2 linked regions of the Struthio camelus genome follow. The protein of the gene in region 1 purifies or fractionates together with the protein of each later gene. This does not show direct contact. Links are inferred from orthologs where the notes say so. Each region holds a gene or a part of one and is shown on either strand. Other genes may lie near its edges. The genes, in order: RNF19A and SOD1.

The links.
Region 2: the proteins of RNF19A (region 1) and SOD1 purify together in Homo sapiens (affinity purification with western blotting, with the first as the bait; 3 studies listed by BioGRID). This does not show direct contact. The link is inferred for Struthio camelus from reciprocal best matches to the Homo sapiens genes RNF19A and SOD1.

What each region holds. Positions count from the first base shown.
Region 1 is NC_090943.1:146,381,496-146,393,197, forward strand, and holds the start of RNF19A (E3 ubiquitin-protein ligase RNF19A), read left to right. Parts: upstream 1-6,361; 5' UTR 6,362-6,515; intron 6,516-6,529; exon of another isoform or gene 6,530-6,663; intron 6,664-9,123; exon of another isoform or gene 9,124-9,281; intron 9,282-11,702. UniProt on the Homo sapiens protein: E3 ubiquitin-protein ligase which accepts ubiquitin from E2 ubiquitin-conjugating enzymes UBE2L3 and UBE2L6 in the form of a thioester and then directly transfers the ubiquitin to targeted substrates, such as SNCAIP or CASR.
Region 2 is NC_090942.1:119,549,385-119,561,259, reverse strand, and holds the start of SOD1 (superoxide dismutase [Cu-Zn]), read right to left. Parts: upstream 4,745-11,875; 5' UTR 4,372-4,744; coding exon 4,297-4,371; intron 3,592-4,296; coding exon 3,498-3,591; intron 2,976-3,497; coding exon 2,906-2,975; intron 666-2,905; coding exon 551-665; intron 1-550. UniProt on the Homo sapiens protein: Destroys radicals which are normally produced within the cells and which are toxic to biological systems.

The sequences.
Region 1 (11,702 bases):
TGGCATGAGGGCAGGCAGAGGGACAAGGCCTCAAGGCCTGCTGTGATTCTTCTGGAGGACTCCGTGTCATCTGTGGCAGACCACAGCCACAGCGCATGCTGAGGTGGGACCTCCAGAAGCACCAAGTGTCCCTTCCTCCCCCCATCCAGGTTTATTTGTGAGAGAACCTGTAGATACAGGTGAGCATCACCAAGCAGTATTACACAGTAACAGGGCAACCGATGGACAAGGACTTTGGGGTGCCTTCAGTGTGTTAACATGTGAGTATGGATGCACTGTTTGGGACTCTGAGGACAGCTAAACCTGAGGAGACATTAACTCTTCAAGGAAGGACAAATCTACAAGTTCTTTGGCTCTGTAGAAGATGGACTCACACTTGAAGGACCCTAGCTGATTTGAGATAAACTTGAGAAAAAGTGTAGGCCTTTTGAGCAGAGCTATTTCCACCATGACTTTAATCTTTTAACATCTAGATGTTGATGAAAAAGCTATTTAAAAAAAAAATCTCAAGCACTTTACCTTTATGCAGTTCTTCCCCCTACCCCACTGCCCCACTGTTCTTGCAGGTGAAATAGCAAAAACATTCTTACTCAAGCTTTCCAGAAACAATTTCACCTTTGGGCAGAGACTAAGCACATAACTTCTCAACCCAGAAAAACAGAAGTTTCAGTCTGTTCGGAGTAACAGAGGGGGAAAACCCAGGGGACTTGTATGGAAACAGTGTTGTGCAACAGAAACCACAGTCTGCTGCTTTTCACAATACAACTCTTACTTGGCTTCCTTTTTCCACCAAATTAAAGCTACCTAATGATACAGAGAGTGATAGCAGCTGACCTTAAAAAAAGGCTAGATCCAAGAAAGGTCATAGGTAGCACATGCGCATGTTGCAACTCCTCACCTTTGGGTACCCAACTTCCAGAACAGACTCCAGAATTTAGGTGTTATGTCTAGAAGTGGAGTTTTAGATGTCCAAGAAATTTTAAGCTCATAAATGGGTCATTTTCAGACTTTTGGTACCTTACAATTTGAGTGACATCTGACTTTTTAAGAGCAACATTTTTTCTTTTAGGCACCTAGATTTATCTAAATCTTTCCATTCTCTTTTTGATGGAGGAAGCGTATGGCTCTAAAAAACTCGGAAAATCGGTGCATTATAAAATGATACATTGAAAAAGTAAAAGGATTTCCAAACAGAAAAAGAACAAACAAAAATAACCCAAATATCATTTCATCTGTATTGAAAAATTTATTAATGGCCTAGCTGTGTGGCAGGAAATGTGCAGGCCTGGTAGATTTTAGAGGAACTGGGCTGATAAAAGGGTTTCTAATTTTTTTTGAATTAGAAAATAATTTTTTTTAATTTCTAAAAAATGTTTTGAGGGTAGCAGAAGAGCAATCCCCTCCTTTCCGCTCCACACGCTGCTTATAATCAAAATACAATATCTGGCACTAGCACGCAGAAGAATATGGCTGGCTGCTATACTCACACGCTTTGCCTTTGCATAACATTGTTGATAATTTCCAGTAGTTCATGTCAAGCAAACACTCTGTATTTCATACATCATGGGATTTCAGTACAGGAAAAACTGAACACAATTAATGAGATCTTTCTCTATAAATAATAGAAAGTGTCCTGCAGAGCCAATCTGGTATTTGTAGTGCGATGGACTTGATGATTTGCTGCTCTCTTCTCCCTGTACACTGTATGATTAACAGCTTCCAGGAGTTGGCATAAAACACAATCTGCCATCTAAATTCAGATGTCATATGGTTAGCATAACTATCACTTGGTTAACTGGTTGCCCAGTCTCTCCAGTTTAGATCAATTACATTTAATCTGTTGTGCCATGAAAAACATGTTCATATGGCCAATTGTTGCTGTTACCATGTCAGACAAAGTGCCAAAAAATTTGGCAACAATTAGATTTATTGAGGGGAAACTTTAAAAATCAAGGGCTCCCTCCTGCAATTGAATTCTCCATTTAATAAGCTCCAACTTGTGCTCATTACTTAGAAAAATCTTGCTGAAGTCAGTAGGAGTCTGACCACAGAAGACAACGTGGTATCAAGCCCTCACACAATAGTCTTCCTTCTCAGTTTCGTAAGAGAAAAAGCTGGAAAGAAGCATATTCAATTGTTTTAAACAGATTTTCTTTCTTGGGGCAGGAATGTTCTGGGGCCGGGCCTGTAGTTCTAGATATCTTAAATTTTCTACTCTTGCTTTTTCTTTATTGACTACCGCAGAAACATGGTATCATTTCTGAATACTGATTAGATCAAATGATGTAACTCTAAGATATCTGAGATGTTTGATATGCCTATGGAAGTCTGCATCTTTAATGTTTAATGACATGCTGAGAATTTGGAAGTTCTTGTTTAGGACATTGTTTACTGATATCTTGCCGCTTTTTAGCTTGGATCATTGAGAAAGGGCTATATCTACTTCATCTAGTTCTATTTGACACTAATCCATCTTTCCAGGCATTTAAAATGTGCTTGTCATCATGGTGCCCCAGCACTTAAATATCCTTTCATTTTAGCTTCAAGGTCATGTTGCCTTTTGAGAAAATCCTAATCTGGATTTCTTCCACAGTATACATTTTTTAATCTATTGCACTCAATACAACTGATGATGACAATTAGCTAATGGTAAATGATTTGGGGTTGGAGGGGAGAAAGGGAAACAGAAACCTGAAAGAATTCAAAACCTATTCTTGTCTCTGTGCAATTTGAATCTTACCTTACCAATATGTAATATGTTCATCACTTATATACTGATATTTATTAGTATTGTCTATTTCTCCATGCATATACCTTACTGCAAGTATTTACGGTCTAAATACTGGTCTAAAGAGATGTTTTGCTACCAGTGGATATTATAGATATTTTTGGTCCATCAAAGGCTTTTGTCCTGTCTTCCTCAGGTGCAAGTCAAAACGCAATTCCACACTGCATTTTCTCAAACAGGAAAATTGATCTACACGGGCCTCTGCCTTAGCCTAGTCATGTGTTCCTGCAGCCACTTCAATTCTGTGCCATGGTTTTTGTGCTAATGCAGCTTTTTGTGGGGCAACACTGTAAGCTAGATTAGTAAAATGAGGAGTGCAAAAAGAAACCCTCCAGAAGAAAAAGTCTTTGGCTGGAGAATGTAGAAAAGTGGTGAATCCCGAAACAAGTGGTGCTCTTCAGAGCAAGGTGAGACAAAGGACAGGGACATAAATCAAAAGAGGTTGAGGATGTCTCTTTGCCCTTAAAAAATGAGGGACCGGAGACCAGGTGACAGCAAAGGCTGCAGGAACTATGGAATGATTTTTAGAAAAAGTTTGGTTTTGGTATTCTTAAAGTTTAAGCTAATGGCTGAATATTAAAAAGAAAAAGGAATTCAGAGAGAGACTCATATGTAGGATCAGAGAGATGGAAACATTTACCCATTAAATTTGATATTCTTCCAACATAAGTTTAGAGAAAAGAACATAAACGCATTAAATTTGGGGCCAATGTCCTGTATTTCACAGTGCCCTTTTATATGAGACAGTACTGCTTCATAATACTGAAACTATACTGAGACCAGCAGTCAATGCAAGCATAGATTATGTGAAGGATTAGTGTAAATCAAGAGAAGGTTATCCATGTCACATCTTTTCTCCACTCCCTACCAGTAGGAGAAAAAGCACTTTCACCTCTCAGTTCTCTCTGCTTACCTCCTCTCTTCACGCTGATAAGATTTTTTGCCTTTCCACGCTTGACAGTGTTCTGTACACTTATGTCTTTTTAGAACATACCAGATGTTCCGTTCTGAGGGTAGTACTTTTGTATTCTGATAAACCACTTTGTACTTTTCTGCCAGCAGCTGAATTAAACGCCCAGCGATCTAGACAGAATGTTTCACTCCCAGCTATTCTCCAGAAAGTGTTGTAGAAAGACAGGCTTGTTTGTTTTCATAAATCTTGTGTGCTTCATGAAATGCAGTGTGCATGATATATTTCCTCTCTGTTAAAAGGTTTGGACAGCCCCTACTTTTTCTTAATACCTCTTTGTCATCTTGCTCTGTAATAAAAAAACAACTAGGCAAGCAAGCAAACATATCCTCCCTACAAATCAGAACAAGCCTCTGTCAGTTTTTGTGTACTGACAAAATGCAGGAAGCATTCTCTTTCCTCACTGCGCTTTCTGTATTTTGCTCATCGATGATTTTGAATGCTTTTGTCAAAAGGCACCTACTTAGCTGCAGGCTCTCTGCTGCATGTCTCTCAGGGGAGTTGCAGGCTGGAGTTTTCAATTTGCCCCTCGTCAGATTTCAAGGAGAAGCCATCTGATGCCATAGTGACCATCCAGAATTTTAAAACATCGGGACGCTGTGCCCCTCCCGATATCCAGCACTAGCCAAGAGACTTCAAAATTTTTTTTTACTGATTTGCTGAATTCCTCTCGATATTTAGAAAACCAATACATTGCTGCATTGCTTTGCTTCTGTTGTTGTTGTTTTGTTTTGTTGTAATTGGCAGTTGCACATTAAGTTGCTAAAAATGTCTGCTGTTTCCATTCTAGTCTAATTCTGGTCACTCTTTGTTCATCTATTTTATCATACTACATGCATCTGCTATCCTAGTCTTCCTGTTCCCCTCTTCTTGCCTTTCCTTTCTCTCCCTCAGTTTATGAACTTCACTTCTCTTTCTCGACATCAAATTTCACACATAAAAAAGCACGCAAGACTATCCTGCAAAGTTACGTTTAATATTTTTCTGCATACCTTATCCAACGGAATACAATGGGACTTCTTAAATGCATTAAGTAACTTATGTACATAAGGGTTTGTAGTACTGGAGCCTAAGTAATTCATCTAGCTACTAGGTTTAACAAGCAAAGAAGGAACTGCCGTGATTTGCATACAACATACCAAAACTCCAGGATAATCTTACTGCAGTTATCCTTACTTTCCATTTCCCCTCCCTGATTGTTGTAATCGCCCATTCTGTCATTTCAGATGAAGCACTTCACTATGGAAAGACTTGCATCCACACTTCATTTTATGTACTGCACATAGTCCCTATAGACTTAAATGGAACAGTGCACATAAATAAAGTGTATGCATAAGCCTTCACCACACTGAACATTGTAAATTCCACAGGACAAGCACGGTACATTTTATTTGTTTTAAAATATCTACCCACGTTAAATGCAGGTTGGATAAGGAGTAACTATTTCCAGAGCAAGCTTTTAGGATTTCATACCAGCTTAATGGAAGCACTGCTATTCATCTGTAAGTACCAGGATAAATTCCAGTTCTGGAGAAATCAGAGATGACACTAGAGAGCATGAGGAACTGACTCGAGAGAGAAACAAAGGGACAGAATGTAAAGTCAAGGTAATATTGATATACGCAAACAATTTTTTAAGTGTAGTAGAGGAGAGGGATTTGGAGTCAGCCCAGAAGCGGAGGTCAACAAAAGCGAGCCCGTTGTGTGAGGGGGTGGACAGTTAAGAAGATATTACTGCAGACATTGGGAGCCCTATGAAATAAGTTGCAAAGGTCAAAATTAAAAGGCGATAAATACAGAAACTAGAGCAAAGGGGAGAGGCAAGCTCCCGAGCACAAGAAGCGGCAGGTGATCATTTTCGCTACTGAATACTGGCGTCCAGGAAGGCAGAGAAGCTGACTACAGTTAGGCGGAGAGAGAACAGGGTCACGCACTGAAAGAAAAGTCGGGATTTTTTTTTTTTTTGTTTTCCAGACAAATCCTGAAACGGCTGAGCTTTTAAATGGCAACAAGAGGGCTGGCAAGAAGAAACGTCCGTATTTTACCGCGCGGAATCCGCCCTCATCAGCGACATGACCCCGCCGAAGCCCCTCAGCAGCCCGCCCCCGCCCCGCCGCCGCGGCCGCACAGCGTCCCGCAGCGCAGGCCACGGCCCCTCCCTGCCGCCGCCGCCGCCGCTCTCGGCCCGGCCGCTAACCGCCTCCCCGCCCCCACGAAACGCAGGCCGCCCCGGGCCGGGGCCACGCGAAACTCCCCCCCTCCAGCCGCCCCCTCCGCGACGCGCCAGGAGCGGCGCAGCGCCGCCGCCGCCGCCGCCGAGGCGGGGGACAAGCCCTCACGTTAACGGCTGCGGGGCAGCGCCCTGCGGGAGGGCGGCGGCGGCGGGCGTCGACTGTTGCGCGGCGGAGCCGCCCCGCCCCGCCCCGCCCCTTCCCAACGGCCGCGACCCGCGGAGCGGGGGGCGGCGCGGAGGAGGAGGAGGAGGGACGGGCGCTGCCGCCGCCGCCGCCGCCGCGTGCGTGAGCTCAGCGCACCGCGGAAACCACCCGCCCGGGCGCCGCCTTCCCCCCTCTGCCCGGCCCGCCCCGCGCCGCCGCGCAGCTGGGCTCGGCCCAGCCCGGCCCGCCCCGGCCGCGGCAGCGCCGCCCCCTCCGTCGCTGGCTCACACCCCCTCCCCCCCCCCCCCCACAGACAGACGCTTCCTGCGTGGGGCCGGGCCCCGGCGGAGCGGGGCTGCTTCCTGCCGCCGACTCGCAGGTACCGGCGATGGGCCCGCGGCGGGCAGCGGGAGCGGGCGCGGGGCGGCCCCCGCCTCCGGCCTGCAGCGGGGGCCGGCAGCAGCCGCCGCCCTGAGCGTGGCGGGGGGTGGAGCGGAGCGGAGCCCTGGCGCCGGAGCCGTCTCTAGGTGGGGGCCCGAGCGGGGCCGGGGTCGGCGGTGCCGCGCTGCGGCCGGGGCCAGCGGCCGGGGCGTCGCGGCGGCCGGAGCAGAGGGAGGCGGCGGCGGCCGCTGCTCGCATTGCTGGAGGGTGAAGTCATCGTGCCCATTGTCTCCCCTCGGCTCCCCCCGGGCGGGCGGGGGCCTGTCCCGCGGCGGCGGCGGAGCGGGGCACGGCCGACCCCCGCCGCCGGGCCGCGTTTAGCTTGGCGGCGGCGCGGGGGGGCCGCGGGGCGCCTCCAGCTGCCCTGGCCCGGCCGGGGCAGAGCCTTGCCGGGGGCAAGGTCCGGCCGCGGAGCGGCTCCCTGAGCTCGCTCCGGGCTCGCTCTCCCTCAGCGCGGGGCCGGTGACTCGGGGGCGGGCGGGAGCGCAGAGGGGTTTCGCGCGGCCAGGGGAGGTTCCTGCCGCTTGCAGGACGCCTCAGCTGTGAAGGTGGCGGCGGGGCAAGCCGCGAGGGTGGTCAGCGCCTTGTGCGGTGTCCTCGCTGGGGAGGCAGCGGGAAGGGGGGAGCCGGCGCTCTTAAAAGCCAGCACGCGTGTTAAGAGCGAAAGAGCTGAAGAGGTGCTGGTTGGCAAAGGGGAGGTGTGCTCCAAGGCTCTGCGACCGGAAAAAAAAAAGGGGGGGGGGGAGGTGGCTATGGCAAGGGGACTGTGGTGGAAGGCAGAGAAATCACAATTTGAAGCCTTCGTGCCCTTGTGTGGACTCTTATTGCAAATGTGCCTGTGCTTCTCTGGGAGAAGCACAACAGATCTTGTTTCTGTTAAAATACTGTAGTTGGCATTGGTGCTGTTCAGTGCTTTATCTCAATTGTCATCAAGGACAGCCTTATTTTAAAAAAGGGCAGAGGGCAGTTCAGGAAATGGATCTTGCAGCATTTAATTCCGTTGATTAGTCATCAGTTTGTTTCTTTTAAAGTAACTATTTTCCTTAATCTTAATTTTGAATTACAGGTTAAAAAAAATCTTTTTTTTTTTTTTTTGGAACTGAAGCATAGGTTCTCAATTGCCCAGTTAACAGAATTCACTTGTGTGCATAAAAACAGTGACTGTCCAGTGTCAGTTAATAATTGCCTGAAATTTTACCCTTATTTAGCTGTAAACATTTAAATGTTCATACTCAAAGCTGCTCATGAAAGCTGAGAAAACACTTTTTAAATTGCATGTGAATTAGACCTTTTGGGACCAGGAAATGAAAATTTCACTTTCTTTTGCATAATGGCAATAATGCTACTCTTAAACACAAGTCTAATAAAGGATAGACATGAGATCCCTTTCCCATATGCATTTTTGTTGAACTATGCCAGTTTTAGTTTTGCTTTATAAAGTTCTTGTTGGAGGAAACAACTGTTTGTTGGTCATCTCTTAAGTGAACTAAATTCTGAATTCTAGCTGTTGTCTTCATGTTGTCAGCTATTTCTGAGTCTGAGGGCATCAGATCATTATTTCTAAATGAGGGAGTTGAAATCTGTGTGCATGTAGTTTTCTGTCTCTTGCCCTCCCCCGAAATCTTCTAGCCAAATGGCGCCTTTCCTATGTAGAGCAGTCATCAGATTTCAATTAATTATGCCAGCAAAGGTTCAGGAAAAAGGAAGATACTTGACAGATGTATTTGTTTACCTTCGTAATGTGTACAAATCCTAATCTCTGTGTTAGTAAATGAATCATTAAAACTCCCTTAGCCATGGGATTCCCAGATAACAATAATATGTGCTGTGTGTGAATGTTATCAGTCTGTGAAGGAGCACAAGTACTTGAGGTCTTTTGGTAGCTAGGTAGAGCCTTTTGTAATTGAAAATGTGCCTAAGTTTTCTTATTCATTAACAACATTTTATTACTACTCCCCATGACAAAAACAAACTTCAGGAGCCCTAATGGTAGCTGTCCCCCTAAATTTGTTCAATGGGTAGGTGATTTTTTTTTTTTTACTCAATTTTTTTTCTTTTCAGTTTGCTTGGAATTTTTTGCTCCTCACTAAAGTGCACCTCCCAAAGGTGTTTTTTTTTCTCTTCGAAGCAAGCAAAGTAGGAGGCCTAAATCTTTTCATAGGACTTCTGAATCCTATTTTGAAAGTGCTAAGAAGGGTCTTTGAACTCTGAAGTGCAGCTACACTGTTCTGCACTGCTTTCCTCTGATGGCCTTTAGCCAAGGTCATGGTCTCTATTATGGGGTCAGGTTACGCTGGCCCACAGTCGGACGTCCATAATTAGCTTTGTGATTTATTTTCTGGATAGTATCTTAGACACCACACACCAGCCTAGTAGAACAATTTTTAATACCTGACTAGAACAAGTTGATGAATACATGATTTAGTTGCCACTCATCTTGATCTGAAGTCTGATGTCCTTGCAGTAGTAATACAAATGTGCATGATAACACCGGCTTATCCACAAGAAAGTTAATTTCGGTTTTTCTCTTTTTGCATTTGTCTTAGCTCTAAATTTCTGTTGTCCCTTCTCTGTTAACTGATGGAAGATGTGTAGCCGAATGAATCAGTGCGTATACACGCTTCAAGATACTAAGAATGATGTTGGATATTATATTGCTAAATACATCTGAATTGCAAAATGGAGGTGGACTTCCACCAAGAAGGTAAAACTTACTTTGAGCCTTAGAGATTTGGTTGTTTTTAATAGTGTTGTACCTGAATTTTGGCAATTTCTTTTTTCTTTTGCTGTAGCAAGAATATGGAAGTCTATGTCTGTACCTAGAAAATAGCTTGCTTGTTTCTTTGTTTTTTAAATAATGTTCCTAATTTTTATCAAGAGGGGAATTCCTTTTATTTTTGATTCTCTGAACTGGAAGTTTTGACTGTGATTTAGTCTAATTATAGGCCATTTTTAATAATTAGATTTTTTTTTTTAAATCCACAATGAAATAATTTTAAGGACAAATCAGAGCCTTTTGTGTTGTATATAGACCAGATGTCAGATATGCTGTGCTCTACTTAACTAGAAAAAAAAATCCAAATGAACTAAAAACTTCCCCCTCAATTCTTCCCTATGTTTTTTACTATTTGAAGTAGAATTTCAGTCTCTTCTTAAGCTTTCACTTAAAGGTTACTTCAAAAGATACTTTGGGCGTTTTTATCTTCTTTTTTTTAGATGAGTTGTGGTAAGTTATTATGTAAGATCTTTGGTCGTTTGCTGGTGTTTAGGGATTTACGGATTTCATCCAGAATTCTGTGAATTAGCATTCACCTTAGCATCCCACATTTTCTTGTAAGGATATTTTTTAGTTGATGAGATCAATGGAAGAGTCTTTGCTGCTCTGAGTCATAAGAAGGTATAGTGGTCTTCAGTGGTCTCTGGTTGTTTCATGTGCATTTCTGGCAATTCTCAGTGCACTGTAGCAGCTCGATTTTGACTGCTGGTCCTTTCTCTGGCAGGCTTTGCTCTTCTTTTCTCTTTCTTCTATTAGTGCAGCACGCTCGCGTGCTGGCTCAAGGATCCAAAACGAGGAATGGACGATATCTAAAGAGAACTGTAGATGTTTTATGTAACTAATATCTTACAGGCCTCAACTGCAAGTTACCTTGTTGTGTGTGTGGCCTTATACCTACCACTTAGGAATAGTGTTTGAGTTCTTGAATAACGTGGTAGAGTATCGGAGGATCAGCTAGAATTCAGAGAAGCAAGAAAAGCTCTATAGCTGAGGTGCAAGATGTCCTTTGTGATTTAACTGTTAAGTCTTTCCTCATTAGGGCAAGCGAGGAGGGCCTTGACTCATTCTTTTACTCGACTTCAGAAGTCGAGGCACACTTCTAAGAGAAGATTTGACCTCACCGTTACGTTAGATTTATCTATGGAATAAGGAAAAGTAGGAGTGTTTCCATTACTGCTTTTCAAGGGAAAGGCTGCAGTAGGGTTTTCTACTCTTCAGTATGTAAACTGTAGATTCAACTCGGTCACCTGTTGGATGACTAGTAGTATCTTGTTGGGCAGGTAGCTGAAACACTGCAACTGTAATTGCCTTTTGCAAGATGAAAATAGCTATAGAAGAGTGTATTTTTTCTGAAGGGCGAGTTCCAGCAGGTTCGCTTTACATCTAGATACTACACCAAACTGGAAAGCTGATAGAAGAATTACTTTAACCTAAAGCAACTTAGCACAGAGATCTAATGAAATGAGCTTAAATAAAAATTGCATATACACAGGTGTTTCCTCAGGCATTAAAACTTCCTCTCTTTAGAGGCCAGCATATCCCCTAATGATGTCTTCAGCAAGATGTTTGAAGGGCACCTTGTAGCAATTCAGTTTGGTATAGTTACTTGTTTTTTTGCCGCTTAAGTAAAGCACAACTGTGTTAATGCAAGTATCCTGTTATTGTTCACTGCAAGCTGTCGTTGTGGGACTATGTCAATTCTGCTCTGTTGCCATTTATAGTTGAGATAAATCACTGTTAAACAAACACTTTTCCATAGGTCCTTTAGCTGTTCCCATAAGGCAGATTAGAGCTCTTATTCCAAACTGGAGCCCCTGGCTGTCCCCTTCAATTGTTCCATTTATTGCTTGAAGAGCAGCTCCAGCAAGGGACCTTACTCTGGAGAAACTGTTTGAAATAAGGATCTTGTTGCTTTGTTCTCACTGTGAGTCACTGAGGCTACATATTCTCAATAAATAGAAATATCAACTTTTAAGTTTCTCAGTTAATGATCAGATAATTACTATAAAACCAAATTGTCCAGGCTACATCAAATTAATCCACTATTATTTTTATTCAGATATGCTGAAAATGTAAGATAGTTCCTCTGCTGTTCTGCTTAGTGCACAAATTTACCATGTACGTTTCCAGAAAATGGTTTGTAAGGAGCGCAAAGTGATCCTGGACCTCAGAGGGATCTCCTGAATGCTGGAGGTCAGGTGGGAAGTCCTGGACTAAAGATTTTAGCTGAGCCATGAGGATTTCACAGTGCTATATAGCTAGCTTATTTGATATGTTGACACCACAGTGATTTATATTTCTTAGGACCCAAGGAATTGGGTGCCATATGCTCAACCCAGATTCAGTGCT
Region 2 (11,875 bases), on another chromosome or scaffold:
CAGTCCAAGCCCGTTTCATGCAGCAAGAATACAGTGGTCTCAGCATGCACTGGAGTCCCAGGGGAAACCAGACTGATACAGTGGTCTATTATCCAATCCACAGGCTTGTTAATCACAGCATCCACACCCTCTGCCTGCCTCCTTCCCCCAGGGAGGCCATGAGGCAAATTAAGGCAACAGCCACTACAGCAGTGGTAAGGAGCACAGCCATTAAGTGCCCATCATCATGCCTTGCAATGACACAGCACTTGTGCCAGACCACCAGTTGCTTCCTCAGATAAGGTTGGTTTTTATCACTCAGCTGTAAAAAGCAAGGTTAATGGAAAGGAATACCCTCAGCAAGGCACACAGCAAGTTTCAGGATCATGGTAATAACTACCACAGTGATACATTACATTTTCAGGCAGAACTTTGGAAAAGACTCCCCAGAGTCAAAGTCTTGAGCTACAGTTTACATAAAAAAAACAGGGACAAGCCTCTAGCAGCAAGAGAACTTGCAAGACTGCTCTGGAGTTCTGCAAAGCAACTAAGCAGGCATCAAGACACTTACCACCATGGTACGTCCAATGATGCTATATGGTCCACTAAGAGAAATGAGTGGATCTTCCATTTCCACTTCTGCCACTCCTCCTTTAGCAGTCACATTGCCAAGGTCTCCCACATGCCTATACAAAGCAGCAGACAAACTTGCAGAAAGCTCAGTACATTAAATTGTATTGGTCTGGCCAATACAACACTCATCTTTACCTCCCTGAAGTATTCCACCACCTTATCTTGAAGGGTCACTGATGTTAAATGAGTGTTCCCTTCAACATTTCCACTATTGACATTTAGTTCAAGAGATTTGATTAAAATTCAGTTCTAGACAGAACTTGGAATCAAAAGGTTAATTACAACTGTGGGAAGAAACACCATGACTCCTGGCAAGGCAAGCTGATAATACACAACTCTTGCAGCTAAGAATTTCCTTCACATTTCTCTATTATAGGTTATTTCTTTGCTCAGAGGAACACCCTCAATTAGGTGAGACAATCTTTCTGCACATGCAAAGTTTGGTATAAGCGCTGCTGCTATGCTTAAAGCTTTTCATGTCTATGACAAGTCAGCCATTCTACAAGCAGCTGCAGACAAACCTGGTTTAAACAAGATTAGTAAAAGCAGTTTGCCAAGTGACAGGTCAACAGGGGATACATTAAATGCTAAGTTCTGATCAGTACTAGGAATGACTACTCCGGTTTATTCTGAATCTTCCTTTATGACATGAGTTCTACCATACAGTTTTGTTTAGAGCCAGTTTGCCACCAGGAATTCCTTGAAGAATTAAGCCTCAGGTAGCAAGTCAGTTTGCAGCTTTTGGACATTCCAGTGCATTGTTCCCAATCCATTTATCCCAAATAAAGGGGCATAGACAAGCTCATGTTCAGAGCTGCAAGACACTGACCTAGACTCAGAACCTTAATACCAGTCTGTTTCTAATAAACTCTCCAGGCATTGTGGAGTAACCAGCTCAGCTAGCTGAATGCTTATATCCGACTGTCTAAGAAGCCAGTAGTTGACTTCTATTTTCAACTAAGTCACAAAAGAGGACAAGGGCAGTTTTCCCTTTAGACATTTGCTTCATTTTAACTTCCAGGTAGTTTTAGTCCAATCTGTTTCAACTCTGTACTGACTGAAGCATGACCTAGTTCTGTTTCCATAGAGGATTCCCTAGACTACAGTTGTCTGAGCACGTAGGTTATGCTAGGAGAAGAGTTTGACTAAGCAGAACTGGCAGAAGCCATGATGTGCATGCAGTTTTGGCCTTTAGCACAGGAGCATTTGACTGCCTGGGAAGCCCACAAGCAAGCCACTTCATACTGCCATCATCCAGACAGGTGACTAGCAGCCACAGCTTGGTTTGGCAAGCAGTTGAACATTGTGCTATTCATTTATCAGTCACAGAAGTTGCGACTATGGACTTTAGGTGAGCATTTAAATCATATCACACTGCCAAGTCTACACCTATCTGTAGAAGACGGGCTGGTCTTGTACACTTGCTGCCACATTGGCCTTCAGTTCTTGCACAGCCCCTTTCCAGTGAGTATACTATTTGAGCCTGAGCAAGTGGTTTAAATAGTATGGGTATCAGACATGCAAAGGCCCCTTCAAGGAACTGGACTATGAAACTGCTCCCATGAAAAAAACTAGGCCTCAGCTCCATGTCTCAACTGCCACTGAGGCTCAGTAGTGTTCAGAACAAACAGACCCCATACTTGCACTCAGCACAGATCCCCTAAAAGAGAATGTCCTGTAAGCAGTACAGTGCCTGAGCTGACAGGTTAAGCACAGCCCAGGCTGAAAAGTTGAGCACAGCCTAGTACTCAAACCACCACCATGCCAGGCACACTCAGCTTCCTATTCATTTTAGAGTCCCCCTGCAGCTCCAATCCCTTCCCCAGATAATCCCGATTTTGCCACATAACAGGCCTGCATACAGGTCAATAGGTCCTTGACAGATGAAGGCCCATTGTGAAAGGCTATTTGCTGAGCAGGGCCCTGACACAGAAGCAAGTCACCACTGACCAAGTGGAACATTAACACATGAATCCCCTTCACCCACATCCTGAAATACCCTCACTCAGTAAAAAATAAATCTCTCTCCAAGCTGTGATTAAGCCAAGAACACATCTCAAAGACTACATCCTATCCATACTCTTGGAGCAAAGATAGCCAAGATACCATTCCAGTTAGCAGGACTTGTATTAACTGACCCTAGAAGACTTGCTGGAATTGCCAGTTTTCTCCCTAGCTTTGTCCTAGCATGATCCAGGAAGTGGTCTCCCAGGCAGAAAGGGGTCTCACTTAAAGAGCTGCTGGCTTAAAGTTGAACAGCTACCCAATAAAGGATCAGGCACATTAAACTCACCTTTCTGCATCAGTTGGTCCACCATGCTGCTTGCCTTCAGGATTGAAGTGGGCACCTGCACTGGTACACCCTGAAACAGATCAGACATCAGAAGTGTAGGTTTTCACCACAGCCAATATAAACCTGTCTACACAATACAACAAGGTAGTCCTCTCACAGAGAGAGGAAGCAAACTCTCTAATGATAAAATAGCTGTTCTCATGCCAGATATTATCCTGATCCATTGGAGGCAAGTAACCTATGACAGACTTGCAAGCCTTACTGAGTCCAATAAAATATAACGTTCTGGAATACAGAACATTTTCAGATGTTCTTGGTTTAGCTGAAAGTAGCATTCTCAGTTCTTAACACCAGGTCATCGTAGTATTTTAGTGCTTGATATATCAGGTTCTGAAGACTAGTTTAAACATGTTTAGAGTATTAACTGGGAAATAATTTGTTAGAGAATGTCATCCTTTCATAAAACAGTCTTGCAGTCACCAGACTACCAAGTACATTTCATACTAGTCAGCACTGTAACACTAGAAGAAGCTCTTTACAGCTGAACAGTCAGGATACAGCTCTAACTGGAAAGCCTAGATACAGATCTTACCATTTGTGTTGTCCCCAAACTCATGGACATGGAAGCCATGATCTCCATCATCCAAGCATTCGATTTTTCCAGTAATTTTTACTGGTCCATCACCCTTCAGTAGAAAGAGAGTTTGTTAGCACCTAAATGACTACAGTATTAAGTGGGCTAATAGCAGCACATGAAGCTTTCTGGTCAACAGAAAGCACTGGAGACTCCACTGCAAGTTCAGCAACCAACATGAATGGTTACCCTCCTGCATGAATTGATTCCATCTGCCAAGACAGCATTTCACAGAAAACTTGCATTTGTTTAACCACCTAGAAAGCATTCCTCCGATTAATCTGTCAAACAAGAGGGATGCCTTCTTTAAGATTACCTGCTTTTAGTAACCACGTGCTTCAGCATGCAAGCACAAGCAACCCCAAACATCGGTGCTCCTTCGCAGGCACAGCATTACCTCAGTACAGTCCCAGCTATGGGGAACAGCCAACTCGGGAAGCGTGGAAAAGGGCTCAGACCACGCAGCAGACTGACCCACGTAAAGTCCCACCCTGGCAGCGACAAACAGGCTTCCCAGAAGGGCTGCGGCGGGCTCCAGTAACGAGCCTTGCCAGGGGGCCCCCAGGGGCGCAACAACCGCAGGCCTAACCCTCCCCCGTCCCCCCGTGACGGGGCCGAGCCGCGGCCGAGCCCGCGCGGCCCGGGGCAGCCGCCCCCGCGCAGCGGGCAATGACTCAGCACCTGGCGAGCCCCCAAGGCCGGGGCGGGGCTGAGCGGAGCGGGCCGCCCCACCGGTCCCTCACCCGCCGGCCCTTGCCTGCTGCTCAAAGTGGATGAGGCCATGCACGGAGCTGTCCCCCTTCATCACGCACACGGCCTTCAACGTCGCCATCTTCCCGCGGCGGCCGGACGAGCGGCGCAACAGCAACAACCAACGCAGCGAGCGCCCCAGCACTGCAGAGCCGCCCCCTCCGCCCGGCGGCTCTTATATAGCGCGTTCCTCCCCCCCCAACGCCGCAGCCAATCACAGCGCGCCTTTTTAGCTTCCTCGATCAATTACTTCGCGGGTTGCGGCCAATAAAGGGGGAGGGAGCGCCGCGGCGCCCGCTGCTGAGCCAATGGGCAGGTGAGGCGCCTCCCCCGGCCGCGGGGAGCGGGGGAGGGGCGGAGGGGGGGGCGCGCCGCCTTGTGTAACGGAGGCGCTGCGGGATTGACGGCGGCGATAAACAACGGCGCGAGGGCCGCCCCGCCTCCCCCCCCCCCCCCCGGCGCCTCGCGCCGCGACCGTTGGGGCGGTTGGCCGCCGCCCCGCGGGGGGTTGGCTGCGGGAGTGGCTGGCCCAGGTAGCTCGCGTTGGTTGCTGAACGGTCGCAGGGGGTTTGTCTCTTGTGTTTGCCGGCGCCGCGACGCTCGGGCGTTCGGGAAGCGGGGTGTTTCTTAAGCAGGCTCACTTTAAACCCTTCCCCTCCCCTCCCCCGCGAAAAGGATGAGCTTTCGGTTTTTAGGTCTCACCGCGTTAGGGTTTCATACTGACGTGAAAAACACGTTTTGTGACAGGCATGCACTGAGGCAGTAAGATTAAGAATCATCCGCAGCATTTTTTTGTCATTTTCTGCAACTTTTTTTTCCCTTCTGTGTATTGTTGTACTTTTTTTGTTTGTTTGTTTCCCTACTGAGAATTCCAGTTGAAAAGCTGAGCGCGCTTACAAAGCTGCCTCAGCCTAGCTTTGCGCTTCAAAGAAGTGGCCCTGTCCAGAAGGTGTTTTGTTCCCCGTGCAAAAGCCACGGGGGTTTCCGTCTGGAGTTGGTGGTGCTGCTGCTCAGCTGCTGACTGTCAGGTTACGGTGGGCTTCTCGGAGCCCCCTTTGCCCATCGGCTGCCCGCAATCACAGGCTGGGTATCTAGTACACAGCTCAGGCAGACTTGTGCTTAACGTGGAAAGTCTCTTGGTGTAGCCGCTGATGAGGACTACTTGTCTGAGGGGTGTGTAGGGAAGAGGTGACAAATTCTCTCCGTGCTGACAAACCTTAGGCTCCGAGGGAAAATTAACATCGGACTCAGGGAGGATATATCTGTGCACTTTTGTATGAAGAGCTGCAACCTCCAAGAGTTTTAAGAATAAAATGATCGCATTTAATAAACGCCTTTTTGGTAAAGCCATGTTCCTTGTTTTCCTGCTGCATTACTGATGAGCAAGTTGAATCAGAAGTCCAAAACGATCGTATAATAGCTGTACCTTGAGGCAGTCTGCGTGTATGACTGAGGGCCCTGGTGATCTTAAGACACCTGGCAGAGAATGCCCTATGGTTAAGGAAGGGAGCACAAGGCCTGTTTCACACGTTAGGCTCAGTTTTGAATCCCAGGAATTTTATGGGGGCCTGACGTTAATTGTGAGGAACAGAGATTCGTTTGGTTGAATGGCATATTTCTCTGAGAAAGAAGCAGCAGGAAGGAAAATGCCAAATACACAGGGAGCATTAGTCTGACAGATAGATAAAATGTTTGTAGTTTGATCCTGAAAAGATGCTGAGAGAGAAAGAGAGCTGGGCTGCATCCCAAATAGGAGGCGTCTCGGCACTGAGAGTTCATGATCTTCCTGGAGTTTAATTCCTGCTGTGCATGGAGAGAAAAGACTGTAAATTGCTCATGAACAAAGAAGTCTGTGGTAATGGCACAACCTCCATCATCCTGAATGTTGGCTGGATCAAAAGGAAATATTTCAGTGCCCTCAAGGCAAATGTTGTTTGATTTAAAAAATGGCTTGTAAACGTGGAAGGATAGTAGTGACTCATTATGCTATCTACCATCTTTGGCTTCCGATGTCCTTTTTTTTTTTTTTTGTCAGTGTCTTTTCATAAGGAGAAACATCTTGAGTGCTTTGCTATGGTGCTTCTTCTTATTCTTAGGCCTGTCTCCAGATCTGCCTTGGTTTTTATCAGACAGATTTATTCTTTCTTTCCTGGAGATAAGTTCTCAAGATCCACCCTTCTTCATGCCTCTACATGAATGTACGACAAGCAGATGGATAAGCAGCTCTACCAAAGAGAAGAGCCAGATGTGCCAAGCCTCCTCATACGTAAAGTGAAGTAATAATTTCAGAAGTTTGTCGCATTAGGTGTGACCAACAGGTTACAGAGTTCTATGAAAAAAGCCTGAACTCTGAGATGCCTGATCTCTCAGATAGAGTGCAGCTGACAAAGATGACATGTTAAGAGACAGCGTAGAGGTCAGCGGTAGAAGGCTAAAGGAAAGATATGATTTTGAAGGACTAACATACAAGAGTTTGTATGGTATGTGCAGATCAGTAATCACGTACAGGCTGTGGCCTCACCCTTTAGAGTGTTTTCTATTCCTACATGCGGTACAATAGTAATACAAAAATATTGGTTTACATGAATACTCTTTCACAGGAGTCTTGCGTAAGAAGCTAGAGATTTTTTTTCCCCACATACTTCCTTTTCACTCATTTCACTCATTTCACTTTTTACTTTCTTAAATCTTGCTAGCAGGGAACATTTTTTGTGAAAATCCACCACAAAGAAGTTGAACAAAGTGTCTGGTGGCAGTAACACATTGGTTTTTTTATTCAGAATATCAGAGTCAAACCAGAGAGGAAAGAACAAACTGCCAGGTGGGATTACTAACTTTGATAGCATGAACTACAGTCAGACAGGCGATTTGTCAGACATAAGAAAGGAAGTGTGGTCTCTTGCAACTTTGGCAGTTACTGTTTGACACCAAAGCCCCACTCTTTTTTGACCTATACTCTTGTTCTGCCATCTTACCTTGGAAAAAGTCTAAACTCGGGCCTGTTCGCACCTTCATAGCTGCAGTGATAACAAAGAGGACTGAACTGGAGCCCAGAGGGTTGAAGCAAGTATGGGAGTGACAGGCTTAGGGCTAGGTGGACACATGATTTTGAATATTTTCTCCATTCTGCAATTGGCTACATAGTGTATCCATTTTAGCAGGGGAATGAAGCCGTTCTTAGTGTTGGTCAAAAGGGCTGCTCACATCGCATAGAGAGACTCGCAGGTAAATCTCTGAAGAACTAGGATTCATGTTAGCCCTGATTGTTTCCTAATTTGCCAACTTAAAGCGCTAACGGCAACAAATGAAGTAGTGTGTCATGTGGGTTAACAGATGTCTAATCTACATAGACTCATCAACTAATCAACTTCTAAGCAAAACGTGCAAAAATAACAAAAAATCCCAAACTTTCTGTACTGTAAAAATATGGCATCCATCAAGCATTAAGCCTCTGCAGCACATTAACTCGCATTCTGATTCAGATTTTATATTGATTAAAAAATTAGAAGTTCAGGAGTTATGGTTCCCATGACAACCATACCTCTGAAGCCTTGTGCAAATGTATAGTATTTCTACTTCTGATGACTCTTCTGGAAAGATATGAGGTGAAACTAAGATTGCCATGGGAAGCATCATTCCAGGTCTCTTGAGCTTCTGTGCATAGGTGCTCACCCATCAAGATTAGATACGTTATTAATCTACGTTAATGTCATTTTTATGTTTATTCTTTCACAGTAACAAAGGTGAACTGAAACAACATGAATAATAATTCTTTCTGTAGGACCATTAATTCCTTGAATGTGCATCTCTGAAGGGGAGGCTGCTGGCAAGATTAAGTGCAGGTGAGCTTATTCTAGCATGCCAGGAAAGGAAACAACCATTACTTCTCTGCAGCCTCACGTTCCAGCAACTGAGGATCCTAGCAGGGCTGGATCAGAGCAGTCCTTCCTCCTGCTCTGGGAGCAGATTTATGGCTATTCTGAACCCATTTTTGCATCTCAGTGGGTGAGTGCGTTCTGTTTAGCTTAAAGGCCTGATTACACAAAGACAGTGAGCAGTGGCTTCCCGCTGCAGTAAATGCGTTGCTTGCCTGGTCTTCTTATCTAAAGCTTCCCTTCAGAAATGTGGAAGCTAAATTCCCAATGTTGGTATCAACTTGTGCTGTGGAATCATAGAAGACTTGTAGCATTTGGGAATCACTTAATACATAGAGAACACAAGATGTGCATGTCTGTTCAGGCGTACCCAGTAAGGAGAGTGCTGTACTGCATGTAGATAATTCTGTATTATGAATGGTCTAGAAGACGCTTGTGTGTGTGTGTATGGCGGGGGGGAGGTGGGGGGGAGGTCCTTCAGAGTCCCACAGTCTAGATCCTAAATGCTAAAATCTGCAAAAATCTAATGCTTGCCCTGTCCTTGGACTCAGCTGTCTACACATAGGTGTCTAGCCCCATCTGTGATACCTCCAGGTATCTCCTCTGGCCTCTAGCTGCTGCTGCAGGAGGGGTCCTTGAGCTCCTGTTGCCTACCTGCCAGCCCCTGTGCCCCCCTTCAGGCTCTCTGTTGCATTCCAGAGAGCCCCAAACACCTATCCTGAAGAACCCAATCCAACCCTGAGCCTTTGCGTTGTCCTGGAAAATGCATCGTGTGCCATTAAAGTCTTCCCATTTGATTACATGTGGGTAATGACACTTCCCTACCTCTGAGGGATTCTGGGAGAGGTAATTAACTCAGTTAATGTTTGTATAGCATTTTGAAGATGAAAAGCACTGTGGAAATCAGGAGTTATTACATTAGAAACTTTGTGACAGACTCCCTAGTGCAAAGCATGTAATTCCAATTAAGAGTTAGTAGAGCTGATAACCAAAGTATTCATATAATTAAAACAGTGCCAGCCTAGAAAGGCTTTGAATGGAACATAAAAGATTAAACATAACATTCACTTTTGACATCTTGTTGTCCTTTTAGTAGCTAAATTGAGGTATTAAGTCCCTAATTCTGCGTTGCTGTACAAGCTGAGTACACTTGAAATATGATCCTCAGAGGACAAGTTTGTGTAAATATTGGTGAAGACCTTTGTACCCAGCACCAGCACTTGAGGCCACAAGTTACGACAACCCTTCTCAGGCACTGGTGCTATTCACGATCTGTCCGCTGAATTTTTTTGCTGGTTAACATTCAAAGAGCTGGATTTTAAATACTTCAGACAGGGCCAAAGCCTGCTCGTGTTACTCCAGTGTGTATTTCTGGTGAATCCAATGGATTATGCGGTTCCCCTGCTGAACCACCACAGGACTGGCCGTTTCCACTCTCCCTCTGGGGAGTTTGGGGGCCCTGCTGTGCAGAGAGCTGGTGATCTAAAAGTCAGCAGTGCGCGCTCTGCGAAAGCAGTGCAAAATGCATGCTTAACGCTCCTTCTTTCACCCATACATCCTAGTATAGGCTCGCTCTTAGGAAACTAGGAGGTACATGCCAGAGCATGACAGTGGGAATAGCTGGAAGAAGGTACTTCTGTCAGTACCTGCAGGCAGGAGAGACTTTCAGACCAGGTTCCTAACAGCTACCAGTGGGCAATTAAAATGTTTATAGTTTTATTATATTAGTAATGCTATGATATTGTTTACCTAGGGTTCTCCCAAACAGCAGTAGCCTATAAGAGAGTCTCTAGACTTTTTTTTTCTTCTCCTCCGAAGGCTGTGTAGACCTTTGACTACAAAATTTCAGAGAAAACTGGGTTCTTGGAGTTTCTCCTGAGCATGTTCAGTCCTGCAGCGCCCCCATTCAGACCTCTCATGCAAGAGCTACATTTTAACCACCATTTACATGGGACAGGCCACCTTTTGGTGAATTGTCCCATCAAAACATTTTAGGAGATTGAAATTAAGAGCACAAAGCAGCTAGGAGTTACTAGCACGATTATGGTTTGCAAGACAAGTTGGTTTGTCACATTCACACAAAAGGATTCTGTGGATTCTCTGGGGTTTGCAGAAATAATAATTGGCACATTTTCTGAGTCCTTTGTGAGAGCTGCAGCGACAGCACAAAGTGATCCTCTGGAGTAGTGCAATCAAACTGAATTGCGAGGTAGCATATCTGAAGTTTAGAATGGCTTTTAAAGTATTAACTAAGTGGTTTTTGTACTTGAGCTTGAATAGCTTCTATCAAATCCAAAGAATATTTTGATTAAAGTAATGAAAAGGCATAATTTCAGCCTTTCCACCATCACATAGTGACTTTGCATATTGGCTTCCGTGAACTGATGTGACTTTCTCTACAGTTTATCCTGATAACCTGCTGCTGTATTAACCCTTTTTCTCCAGCTCAGTAACTCTATCGCTGCAATGTTTTGACATAAAAAAAACCCCATGAATTCTCCCAAGAAAAAGGCAAAGGAGATTATCACAAAAATATCTATTTAATTGCAATGAAAATCTTTGCTTTGCTGCCAGTCCCAGCTGTTCAAAAAACTCTTGGATCCTAAAGTCACAAGAGGTAATCCCCCTCACAACTGTTTACGCTCCTTTAATTTTCTTCTTGTTCTGAGCCATTAAAATAGGACTTTCACAATTTTTCTGTGCTCTTCTCTATGAGTGGCTACAAATGCACTTGAAAGAAATCTGGGACTCTCAGATGATCTTAGTGAGCTTACATTCCTAAATGTTCCAGTTACCAGAAAACTCGTAGTAAAATAATATGGTAAATAAGAGGCAGAAAAATCAAGCTGAAACCCCGTTTTCTTCCCCTGGGTTGGAGTCAGTGATTCCTTTCCCATTCTCAGCCTTCTGCTCTCCCACAGCTTGGCTTCCTCTGAACATTTCAAGCTCCCTGTTAAAAAAAAAAAAAAAAAAAAAAAGAGAGAGAGACCAAGAAAATGGCAGAAAGCGCTCAGCCTCTGGGCAGCTAAAGGGGGACTCTGCTGCATGCAGAGCCATTGCCTGTGCAGCCACTTTCCGTCTCCACTTGAGCTTCGTGAATCCCCTGCCAAGACGGGTTTTTTCCAAGAGCCCACAACCAAGGGGAGTTTTTTAACATGCAAATGATGAAGAAGGAGCTAAGACAGAAGGGGCGAGTGGTTGTAGAGAAGGATGATAGAGTTACGATAGGGAAGGGGGCAGCTGTGAGGAAAAGAACACAAAGAAAAGTCAGAAAGAATTAAATGGGGAGAAGGAACAATGCTCTAAAGAAAACCATTAAAAAACTGAGCTAATTACACCAAATATTGCAATATCACCAGTGTGAGATCAAGGGCCTCATTCTCCTGAAAACACCTCTTTTAAACTAGCGTTGCTAGGCGGATACATTCTCCACCTCGAGCAGTTTATCTGCCTACTTAGGTTACGGGCTGAGAGGCACAACCAGCAGCCGCAGGAAACGGCTGCCTGGCTGCGCGCCCTGCCAGCACCTCTCTTCCAGCCGTGGCAGCTCCCAGCAGCTCTCGCTGCCTGGTGCGTCTGGCAAGCAGGCAGAAAGCTGCAGGCGAGACAGCCCGATGTTTGACTGCCACACGTGGATTCACTGGAGCAAAAACCAGGCCCAGAGGGTTTCCACTTTCTGCTCCTGTGGGAGGATGGGGCTGCAGGCACAGC